2 linked regions of the Tribolium castaneum genome follow. The protein of the gene in region 2 purifies or fractionates together with the protein of the main gene of each other region. This does not show direct contact. Links are inferred from orthologs where the notes say so. Each region holds a gene or a part of one and is shown on either strand. Other genes may lie near its edges.

Region 1 (5,560 bases), on a different chromosome or scaffold from region 2:
GGAAATAAATTATAGAACAAAATGACAAATTTCACACGAAAGCCAAATTCCCTTTCATACTTTTAGAAAATTGACCTTTTTTGTTAGTGATTTAGCGATTTTTTATTAGTAGTCTAGATTTATTGCATTTTTAATAAAACTGGTTAATGTTGATTGGTTTTTGAAATATCTATATTATGTAATTTCATTTCTTTAAGAACACACTTTGTAAAAATGTATTACGCCGAAACTAAGAAATCTAAACAAATGAAACTGATTCAGCTTAAAAGAGGAAGGTATGAACCTTAGTGCTTTAATATTTTTTGGAGAGTTACAGCTGAGATGATAAAAACATGAAGAACTCTCTTTTAAGTTTAAAAGTTTAAAGTTTTAAAAGTTTAAATAACTTAAAATTCTTAAAGGAAACGCCGTATTACTTATTTTTGCTCGTAAAATACTTTCAAATTGTCTTTCTAATAAATAACATAAACATTTAATAAGTGTTTACAAAAAAGATATTAAAAAAATCAACTATTATTTCTTATTACAGTAATTTTTTAAGTTCTTAATTGCACTATGTGTACAAGTAGTACAGCTTTAAGTTTGAACTTTCTTTAAAAATGTGAAAACCTGATTTCTGTAGTACGAGCCCTAATAACTAAATGTTTGGACGAAATCTTGTTTTATTTTTATTTAGTTTTATTTTATTTTTATTCATTTTATTTATTTATTATCAAACTGGTTTTATTACAACAATACTATTTATAATTTGTATGGATTCAAACTTATGAAATTCACTAAATACTAAATACTAAAGTGTTTTCTGAACTTTGTTATTAGAAAATAAGTTATTAGAAAAAAAAATTAAACGATGAAATTTTCCCACTTCGCTTGGCAATGTAAGGAGCTAAAAAATTTAACATATGACTATCCAGTTTTGTATTATTATTTGACCTTCAATTTCATGGGATTCTAAAAAAAATTATTACGTTCCCGAAGGTATGTTTATTTAAAAAAAAAGGTGCTTCTTGTCACACCACAAAACTTTTGAATTAATAATTTGGTAATTCTTACATTAATGTTATGCCTTGACCAGCTATTAGCCCTGATTTCAATATCATTGTGTCTTTTTGGCACAAAATGATAAGTTATCCTAGAAATCTTTCTTAGTGGTAATTGAAAGATTTAAAAAACAAAACAGAACATATTTGGAACAATAAAACGCCTGAATTCTGTTACAGATTCGTTAAAAATATGCCTTTTTAAATTTAAACATTCAGTAGCTTGACATGCATTTCCTTTACAAAAATGTATTCTTTCAAACATTTAGGGTCGGTTTATAGAAACGTCATTAAGTTAATCTGCAATTAAATGCGTGATTAACTGATCACGTGACCAAATTGAACAAATTTAATTGGTCCATTCGCGTTGTTAACTTTTAGCGACGAATTAACTTTTAACAAAGCTTTTTATAAACCGGCCCTTAGTTGTTAGGGCTCGTATTTTTACTTTTTGTGTAGTACTTTTCACAAAAAAAAATTAGATTACATTTCAAAAACTAAGCGGAATCTACAGTAAAAGTCTATAGAAAAATACCAATATTGAAAGCTACGTTCAGTAAAATAAAAAATATTTCATAAAAAAAATGTTTATATTGTACCTAATTGATTTCTCAAGACCGCTGTAGATTTGAAAATAATTTTAGGTAATGAAGTGATGTATTATACTAACTTATAAATGAACTTCCATAAAATTAATTAAATAGAAGTCATTTAAAATCACTTTGTAGTATTGTTTTGATTGGTTAAAAATTAAAATGACTAAAAACGAGTTTGTACTGTATTCAAAAACATAAAAAAATAGTTATTAATAATACGAGTGCGAAAACACAAGCTTAAATTTCGTTATGCAACGAGTGTATGCGAGTGTATACCTAGACACCCGAGAACTTTCAGCGTTTTCGTATAAATGTTATTAATTTTTTTTTGTTAAGACATTTTTATTCAAAACACGTTGCTATGGCAAACGTGTTTTAAAATAGTGTTTATAATCTAGAATTCAGATATTAAAAAGAAGACTTAAAATTACCAACAAAAAAATAATTAAAACGATTATCCACTTACGCCGAAAAATCCACATCCCTGCACAGTGTGTTACTTTCAATCCTTTTATAAAACCGGTCCAAGGCTTGAACTAAAACAGCCGTATCTCCAACATCCTGCTCCAAATCGACTTTATTTTGCACCAAATCGAAATACTTCGCCATGTTTTGTTTAACAAAGTTGTTGAGTTCAGTTGCAGCAAAATTTTCGAAAATATCACTATTTTCGATATTATCCAAATTGTTGCGATTGATAAACATGTCGTCAAAGGAAGCCACAACCAGACACAAATCGCTCAAAAATCCCGAACAACCCAAATCAATAAATTCGGAAATGTCCCGTTGCTCGCTTTGGTCCTTCAGCATGACTAGTTGGTCACTGAGACGTTTTTCGGCACAAATCAAAAATTCAGAACACAACTCTTTGGCCGGCTCGTTCAGTTGCAGGAGCAAATCCACACTTTCGGTCAGTTCCTTGGCCGAGGCTTGAGGGTTACTGAAGTGCTTCCTCAGTTCTTTTTTGAGCTCAATAAGGATGGTTTCACAGTCGGTTTTGATGCCTTGCAAGGATGGCAAGTTACCGTACTGTTCCAAGACACGCTGGGCGTGCAAATAGTCCTGAACCGCCTCAATGTATCGCTTTTCCTCCATTCGAGTTTTCAAGCTTGTTGGCAGTTTGAATAAAAACTGGAGGCGCTGCAAAAGCGTGTGCACCCCCGACAATTTACTAATTTGGCTCCTTGTGTCCTGAAGAGTCGAGTTAATTTGGTCGGAAAACGACGTAATTGACGACATGTTTGAGGCGAGGAGGTCCATTTCGTTTTCCATTTTTTTGAAATCGACTTTCATCTACGGCACTAATTCACTTTTCGGAAAGAAAAACGCACCAATACCTTTTTTATGGTGTCTGTAGCCGAAATAAATTTGTTATAATTTTCGTAAACTAGGGTTTGCATGTCGGAATGCAAGGTTTGTGTGTCTTTGACGATTTCGCTCTCGTGGTCCATTATTTGCTTCAAGTTGGACTCCTGCAAGAGGGTGTCAGTTCAAGGGTGAAAAAGGGGCTATTGTTACTTTGAATAATTTATCCAAATACATGTTGGGGTTGAAGCTGGGACTGTTCAGGTCCAAGGGGCTGGGCTTTTTCTCCGCCATTTTTGGGTTTTTGAACACTTAATTGAAAAAGAACTCAAAAAACATTTTTTGTATTGTTGTCACCAAAACGTCAAAACAGATGATCAGGTGTGCTAGTGGCAGAGTGTGCACAAGCTCGAAACAGTTCATAAATCAGTAAAAATTCTCATTTACAATAAAATTCGATACAAAGTGATTGATTATTATTGTGTTGGCGTTATTGTGCTTAGGATGCGTCGTTTTTTTGCGTAAATGGGCGAGGGATTCGAAGTTTGCGCCACGGGAACCACGTGTATTGATTCCAGTGTGGCCACCCCTCTGCGGCGAAACTCCCTCCCCAAAATGTAATTTTATCAGCGACGATGTTTATTTAAGACTCAAATTCGCTCACATTTCTTTAGTCCCGCGTCTGTGCGGTGTCGCGTGTCAGCCTTTGTCGCTTTCGCGAAATAACAAATCATGAAATCAATATACAGTAAAATTTGATCATGTACCCGGTTTATTTCTTTTAGTGCTTACAAATTTTGATTTTCATTCTTCACCTTTCACAACAAAATCACCTTCTCGAATACTAGCAAAATTCAATTGGAAAAACTAAGTTTCGTCAAAACACCGGAAATATGGATAAAACGACCAGTGGCAACGATAAAACCTGTTACAGAGTTGTCCTAACAGGAGGTAAGTCGACCATGTGATCCTCCACGAGATTATTTTGGGTTTGTACAGGACCATGTGGCGGAAAAACGACCGGTCAAGCCAGGCTGAGCACGTTTTTCGAAAATATGGGATGGAAGGTAACGCCAATTTTCACTTTTTATTACCAAAACGCAACCCAATTTATTGCTCCCACAGGTCTTCAGGGTACCGGAGACCGCCTCAGTTCTACTAAGGTAGGTGTCATCAGCGTTTTCCAATGTTTTATTGAGTCATATTCCCATATTTAGCCCAGAAAATAATAAAATTGTGTTTTGGCACCCGGCCTTTTACCACAAAAAGACCGTTTATAGTTTTTATACGGAGTGGTCCGAAATAACTGTTTCTGTTGGCAACTCTGTTACCAACCAATTTTGAATTTGTAAATTAATGCAAAATGCACAAGAAATAGGGGCCTAGTGGAGTCTGAAAGTCTGGTCGTAATTCTTGAATACCCAACTGTGTTTTGGATCTCTGCCCTGATCAGGGAGCACGTGGTTTTTAAATTTATCACTTGAGCTAAAATTAATGGCCTAATGGGTGGCCAACAATATCTCTAATCGTTTCATTATTTTTTAAGTTAATGAATTTAATCACAGTTAATTAGGTATTAGAAATAAATAGTTATGGTCTTGCCAGTGACCTCACTTTTGTTCCAAAACAAATATTATGTTTTTTACCCAAAACATTGCAGTATCATCCAATATTGTAGATAAATTGTAGAAGGTTGGATTATGTAAAGCCATTTTGTGTTATCTCATCACTTATCACAAAGGATAGTGATTGGCATCAATTTAAAACATAAAACGTGATTTGTTTTAAATGTTGTAAATTGGCGGAAATGTATACTCGAACACGTGATGTGGTGTGTTTTGTTATCAGACAATGTTAATCATAAATCAAGTGTTGAATTTATGTGGAGGTTTTGTGCGGAAAAATTTTATTATAGCACAGGTGGAATATTGTTTATTAAAAGCTACACCAAACAGTGTAGATAAGAATAGTCATAAGAATTTCCATGCAATGACTGTATAATAATGCATTGCTATTTTTAACGCTGTGAAAATGTATCAGCATTTTTCAACCACGTATTTGAGATTAATTATGTTTGATATGAATCAAATGACCACTGAATAAAACGTATGGCTTATTGAATAATGAAATATAAAAAATAAAGTTTTGGGTGTTTGTAATTAAAAAAAAAACGTGATTTTTGTGTAAATAGTCAAGAAAATTTGTTTTTTAAAGGTTGCAAAAACTGTTCAAAATAACACAAATAAGAGAAACTCAATGTATTGATTACATATTTTCAACGTTTGCAAAAATTAACAATGCAGTTTTAACACTTCTTCAGTGTAAGTAAAAGGAAATTACTGCTGATGCGGAAAAAAAAAATTAAGGAGTTGCATTAATTTCTGAAACAGTAACTTTATAAAAAAATAGTTGCATTATCAAGTCGGTTAAAAATGTAATCATTTTTGCAGATGTTTTTAATTAGCTTGGACAAAAAAGCTTGGTTCCAAACTTTTGCCGAACACAATAAATGCTGTAATACAGGGTGTATCAGAAATACGCGATACAAAATTCATCAGGTATTAGGTGCAACTTTTCCATACAACATTTTGCAAAATTCTAATTTATTATGTCATTGTT
Region 2 (5,363 bases):
CTGTGGCCGGCGGACGCAACTTAAAATTCCTAAGAACCCCCCTTAAAGACTTAAACTCTTGCAATTGGAGGAGAGTAAAGGTGGGCTTAACGGGACAAATCTCCCACATTTCATTCTCGAGAAAGATTTTTAATTCCTCCAAACGCTGGATGTGGTAATTTTTGAAATAGTTGACGCTTTGTTTACGAATTGATTCTTGCAAATCGTCCGATTTGCTCAGACAAAATTCCTCGCCAACTTGGATCAAGCGGTGCACAACACCCAAAACTTGGACGAACTGGTCGAACTTATAAGAGGCCAAATCAGCGTTGAGGAGAAGCCCTGAGACTTTACGTTGCACGTCATCCCAGATTTTAGTCAAATTGTGGTCCAGTTTTTCCTTATTTAAATTTGTCTCTTGCTCTTGATTGTTATGCCAATTGATCAATTGGTGGTAACTTAGCACGATCTTGAACAAGACTTTGCACAAACTCACCAGACATGGAATAAAAACGTCGCTCCCAACACTCTAAAATTTAAAAAAAATTGGACAATTTTTTTATAAATCATGTCCAAATTAATTCTATTTTATAATAGTGGATAATAAAACATAAAAAACGTTAAAATAACACGTCAGGTTTTGTAGAAAACAAAATAAACTAATTTTATTATTCCATGCAAATTAAATATGTATACAGGGTGACCCAAATCTGCTCCCGTCGTCTGTAGATCAGCTATTAGTTAAGCTGGACTTTTAATATTTTGTAGACGTTATTTATACTCTAGGACGTATTTCAGGAAAATATTTTTTACTATATAGAGTGTCTCAAAAAAGTATGACGTCATAGTAATATTTTTTTAATGGCATGCTATTATTTCTTAGTGCTCATTAAAATGCCTTTTTAGCTTCTTACATGTCCCTAAAGTTTTTTTTAATCAATTCAGAGATTACTGTTAAAAAAAATTATAACAAAAAAAATTTGGTTTTACACCTTTAGTTTTAAAAATCAATAAAAAATAGAAACGGTGCTTTATTGATGTAATTATTACTACGTACGTCTTGAACAGGGTTTAACAGAATTATTAATTAATTTTGATTGATCTGAATTACTACAGTGTGTTTACAATTTATTTTCAAACTTTTTAAACTTTAGAGCCTCTTATTTTGCTTATTTCAAATGGCAACCTCTATTTATTTTTAAACCTTTCGATGGGGAATTAGAAAATGAACGTTTTTTCTTAATACAACACTAACGTAAATCCTAACACATTCGAAGTTATTTGCCAAAAACCTTAACCATGTTCAACTTCACACTTCAATAACTTACTGTTTTTTGTTAACCCAACATGTGTTCGCTATCCGCTATGATCCAATACTTATAGTCTTTGATTACGCAAATGTTATAACAAGACTTTTTTATCAAAAACAATTTTTTTTTCACTTTTACAACAAAAATAATTTATAATAATTTATAATCACGAAAAACTCTCTAATGTAAGAAATTGAAATAAACAGTACACACGCAGAACAGCTAAATAATTCATTGAATGAGGAATTACGAAAATTTCGTTACTGTTTTCGGCAAGTACGACATGTCGTCACCAGAGGGCGTCTAGTTAATTTTATTCCCGAATTGTGGCGCTTATTAAAAAGTTTTTCTTTTTATTTATCTTTTATTTGATTGCTAGAACATTCTGAAAGATTTTGGCAGTTTTGGTGCAACAAAAGGAACATTTAAATAATCTCTTGATTGAAAAATTACTAATATAGAAATGTTTCATTTGCTGAGCTATGTTACCTGTTAAAATTCACACACGTATTAACTGTTTCAAACGTCACATTTCACCGAATTATTTTTTTAAATAAGATTGAAAAAATAGTTATAAAGATCTTTCATTAGCTGTTATTTTATTCTTTTTTGAAGTGAATCAATAATTTATAACAGTTAATTTTGAGAGAAAATGGCGTTTCTATAGTTTTGAAACAGCTTATATTTCTGACACACCCTGTATTTTTATAGAAATATTTAATAATTTTGTTCAGACAGCTGACGAGATGGCCAATTTTTGAGTACATTTTCAGAATCTGCATAACAAACAATAAAAAGACACGTGGTAGACAATAAAAAAGAAATAATGTTCATCAATGTAATTAAGGGAAAAAAACTGAGATTAAATCACTCACTTGACAAAGCGTTTTGTACGGATTTTTCCCACTCGTCTCCGAACTTTCGATACTTTCGGCCGACGTTACGTACGAATGCACCACATTTAACGACGTATTGTAAATCGCAGTGATATAATGGACGTGCAAATTATCAATCATTGAAATTTCAGACTTATCCAATAAATGATAAGCAAGCAGTAATTTCTGATAGCGCTCACCATCAAAATGATAACACGTCTAAAACCCCTCAATTAGCATCTAACACTGGTTAAAACACCAAAAACCTGTGCCAAAACCCGGTCAAGTTGCCCATCCGTACTCTCCAAAGTTTCTTGCAATTTATAAGTTAGGGCGGCCACGCAGCTGAAATGTCGATACTTGGTGGCGATTTTGTGGCACTTTTTGAGTTCAATGATCGCCCCCGCGTAGTCCTCATCGCGTAAAAGCCCTTGCAATCGTTGGTCATAACACCGCTACAAACATAACCTCAAATGTCACTAGTGACATAACCTCACTTACGAGATATTTGATCATTTTGAGGTTGTTTAGCAGGTTTTGCGCAATTTTGCGTTTACGGTAGTTGGCGAGGAGCTCAAGGGAGGCGCGGAACTGATCCGCGGCCACTTTTAAGTGTCTCCGACTAGTTTTACACTCCTGAAGTGTGTCCTTAACTTGCTCCAAAATCTCTAAGACTTTATCGAACTCGGTGTTACAGCCACTTTGGTGCTCCAATATTAATTGGAGGACTTTCTTCGAGACCACTTGGTGTTGCTGTTTGAGGGTTTTGAAGTCGCGCTGGATCTGGTCACAGTCGAGCGTTTGGGGCAACTTCTACGAATTTTTTGATTATTTGAGAGGGCAAAAGAGGGTTCACACTCACCCCCAGTTCAAATCGGCAAATGTCAAAGTCGTCCCGGATGGAAAAATAGGCCGCTTCAATACTTTCCAAAATCTCCTGGTCTGAGGGCCTATTTGTCTCAGCAACTGTCTTACTATTAATTGATAGATTCTCCACTTGGGGGAAGTGATAATTGGCGTCGGAGAACCCCATCGACGGGATTTTAGGCCCCTGGAAGCGCTTTAAGGGGGCTCATACGAATCGTACCACTTACCTGTTTGTTGATCAGGCCCAGAATTTTGTGCTTCAAGTCGTCCATCCTAACACTATTAACCGTTATTGTGACGAACGAAATATTAATTATTTATTTATTTATTTACACATACTACTGACTTGTCATTTTGACAAGCGACAGGCCATCTGTTGAATTGACACTGAACAACGAGCAGGAACCTGTGCAATGCGTTAATTCCGGCAAATTTTGCGACAAAATTGTCACGTTCCTGGTGTAGTTTTTGCCCGAGAATTTTCTACTTAATGTGGTGTTAATTATAATTAAGGTGGGCCCAATTAGCGAAAATTTGGTGCAGATGTCGCCACTGGCGCCACTTGTGAATGAACAAATCAAGGAAGGCCAAGTTAAAATGGCTGCCTGAATCGATACCACTATTATCGGCTATTTCCAGTGCAATTTACCGTTTTCGGGGGGCTATAACCGTGCCCCGAGTGTGCAAACGGGTGTCTGTGGTGTCGCGCGCCCCAAATCAGTGTTAGTTTCACCCGTGGGGGCCAGCTCGCACCCTTCCTGTCGTCTTTTATTTATTATGTAGCGCCAGCTTTGAGGTAAGTAGCGAATTTCGTTTGTTTTTCCTGCATTCTTGATTTATTTCCTTTGGTCGCCTGGTGCGGAAATCGACGCCCGACGCTCATTTGTTTGCGGCGCTAATTATCCCGATTGACAAGTTAATTGTTATGTATACAAGTCCGGGGGTGGGGGGCGGATTAACGGGTTAATTTGTTAAATGATTGCGTGCGCGCGGGCCGATGACGGCCCTTTGACGGCCCGTTTTGCGGCGTCTTTGATCCGATCTAGTGAGCCGAGGCCGGATTTCCGCCGTTAATCGGCGTCCAACATCGATTGTCTTTTGTTTCCGCGTTGGAAGAAGTGTCGAAGGAGGATTTTATTACGCGACGTCGTTATAAACACAGTCGTTAAAATGTCATTTCTCTCGGCTAAATTGATCGTAAAACTATTGATTTTTCGGTTAATCGTGTCGTAAAAATGCTTATTTTCGTCAAGGACTCGAATAAATGACAATTTTTTTTTAATCGCGGTTGGCATGATTCAATCAATCGGGAGGGGAATTTGCGGATGGAGTGGGGAGGGGTGGGTGGAGCGTAGCAATGGGCGATCGAGGGGAGGTCGAAACGACAAGTGTTGGCTACAATTTGTGTTTTATTTCAGAAATGTAATTAATTGGTAAAAAATGGCAACAACTCAAGGAGAGATTAGGGTGGGTCCCGGCAACCAGGTAAAAGATATTTATGTACGTGAGACCGACAACACGGTAACAGCAAAATTTTTATTCGAAATTAGTGGTGCTATTCTCTAAGAAAACGCACGCTATAGTGCTATAACTCTTTAGGCTATAGACTATAAGGAAAAATAAAATTTTCTGTAGCTTAAATTCTATAACCTTAAGCGGCCTCCGAGAACTGTCAAATCAAAAAAATATGTGTTTTTACACTTTTTTTTACTTTAATTATACATATCTCAAAATCGACAACAATTTTCAACCGAAAACCAACTGGCCTCCAACTGGCAAATAAATTTAGAAAGCGGTATTTTCAAAAAAATCTCGTTCTCAAAGAAATTTTTCTAAAGGTTATTTTTTCCTTGCTATTGCTAGTATCGGTTTCAATTTTTGCATACATATTTACAATGATGTTGTGCATGAATGGTGTATTTTTTTTCGATCTGTGCAGTATCTTGCGTTTGGCACCCAAGTCTCGGATCAGCAGACTAAGAAAACGTATTCAATACTAAATAAAAAATGTGTAGTTTTGTGGGGAATTGATTTCTAATCATTTTGCTTTTTGTTTGGTACTGCGTAGTCTATTTTTTGAGATTTGTATAAAAGTATGAACACATTTTGACAGTTCTCGGGGACCGCCATAGTGTCTTTATAAAGTTATAGTAAAAAAAGTGACACCGTAGAGACTTATCTCCTCTGTATCGATACATTGCTATGGAACAAAGGCAATACTCCTGTAAAATATTATGGTATTCCTCGGTATTTTGCCATTGTTAAGTAGTTCAATGTTGGATCGTAATAATACTAGTAATATTGTATCAAATGCTAGGGAAAATTATATTAG

What was found. The genes of interacting proteins can lie anywhere in the genome.
Region 1: the proteins of Vps50 (region 2) and Vps51 purify together in Homo sapiens (affinity purification with mass spectrometry; 7 studies listed by BioGRID and IntAct, counting the BioPlex papers as one, with this or other methods). This does not show direct contact. The link is inferred for Tribolium castaneum from reciprocal best matches to the Homo sapiens genes VPS50 and VPS51.

What each region holds. Positions count from the first base shown.
Region 1 is NC_087395.1:17,181,933-17,187,492, reverse strand, and holds the start of Vps51 (vacuolar protein sorting-associated protein 51 homolog), read right to left. Parts: upstream 3,341-5,560; 5' UTR 3,236-3,340; coding exon 3,155-3,235; intron 3,109-3,154; coding exon 2,974-3,108; intron 2,930-2,973; coding exon 2,103-2,929; intron 1-2,102. Other genes in the region: Ttd14 (TRPL translocation defect protein 14), read left to right, coding at 3,835-3,892, 3,941-4,008, 4,067-4,104. UniProt on the Homo sapiens protein: Acts as a component of the GARP complex that is involved in retrograde transport from early and late endosomes to the trans-Golgi network (TGN).
Region 2 is NC_087401.1:9,938,407-9,943,769, forward strand, and holds the start of Vps50 (syndetin), read right to left. Parts: upstream 3,479-5,363; 5' UTR 3,304-3,478; coding exon 3,259-3,303; intron 3,216-3,258; coding exon 3,027-3,215; intron 2,978-3,026; coding exon 2,666-2,977; intron 2,620-2,665; coding exon 2,431-2,619; intron 2,384-2,430; coding exon 2,165-2,383; intron 509-2,164; coding exon 1-508. Other genes in the region: Gug (arginine-glutamic acid dipeptide repeats protein), read left to right, coding at 4,472-4,531.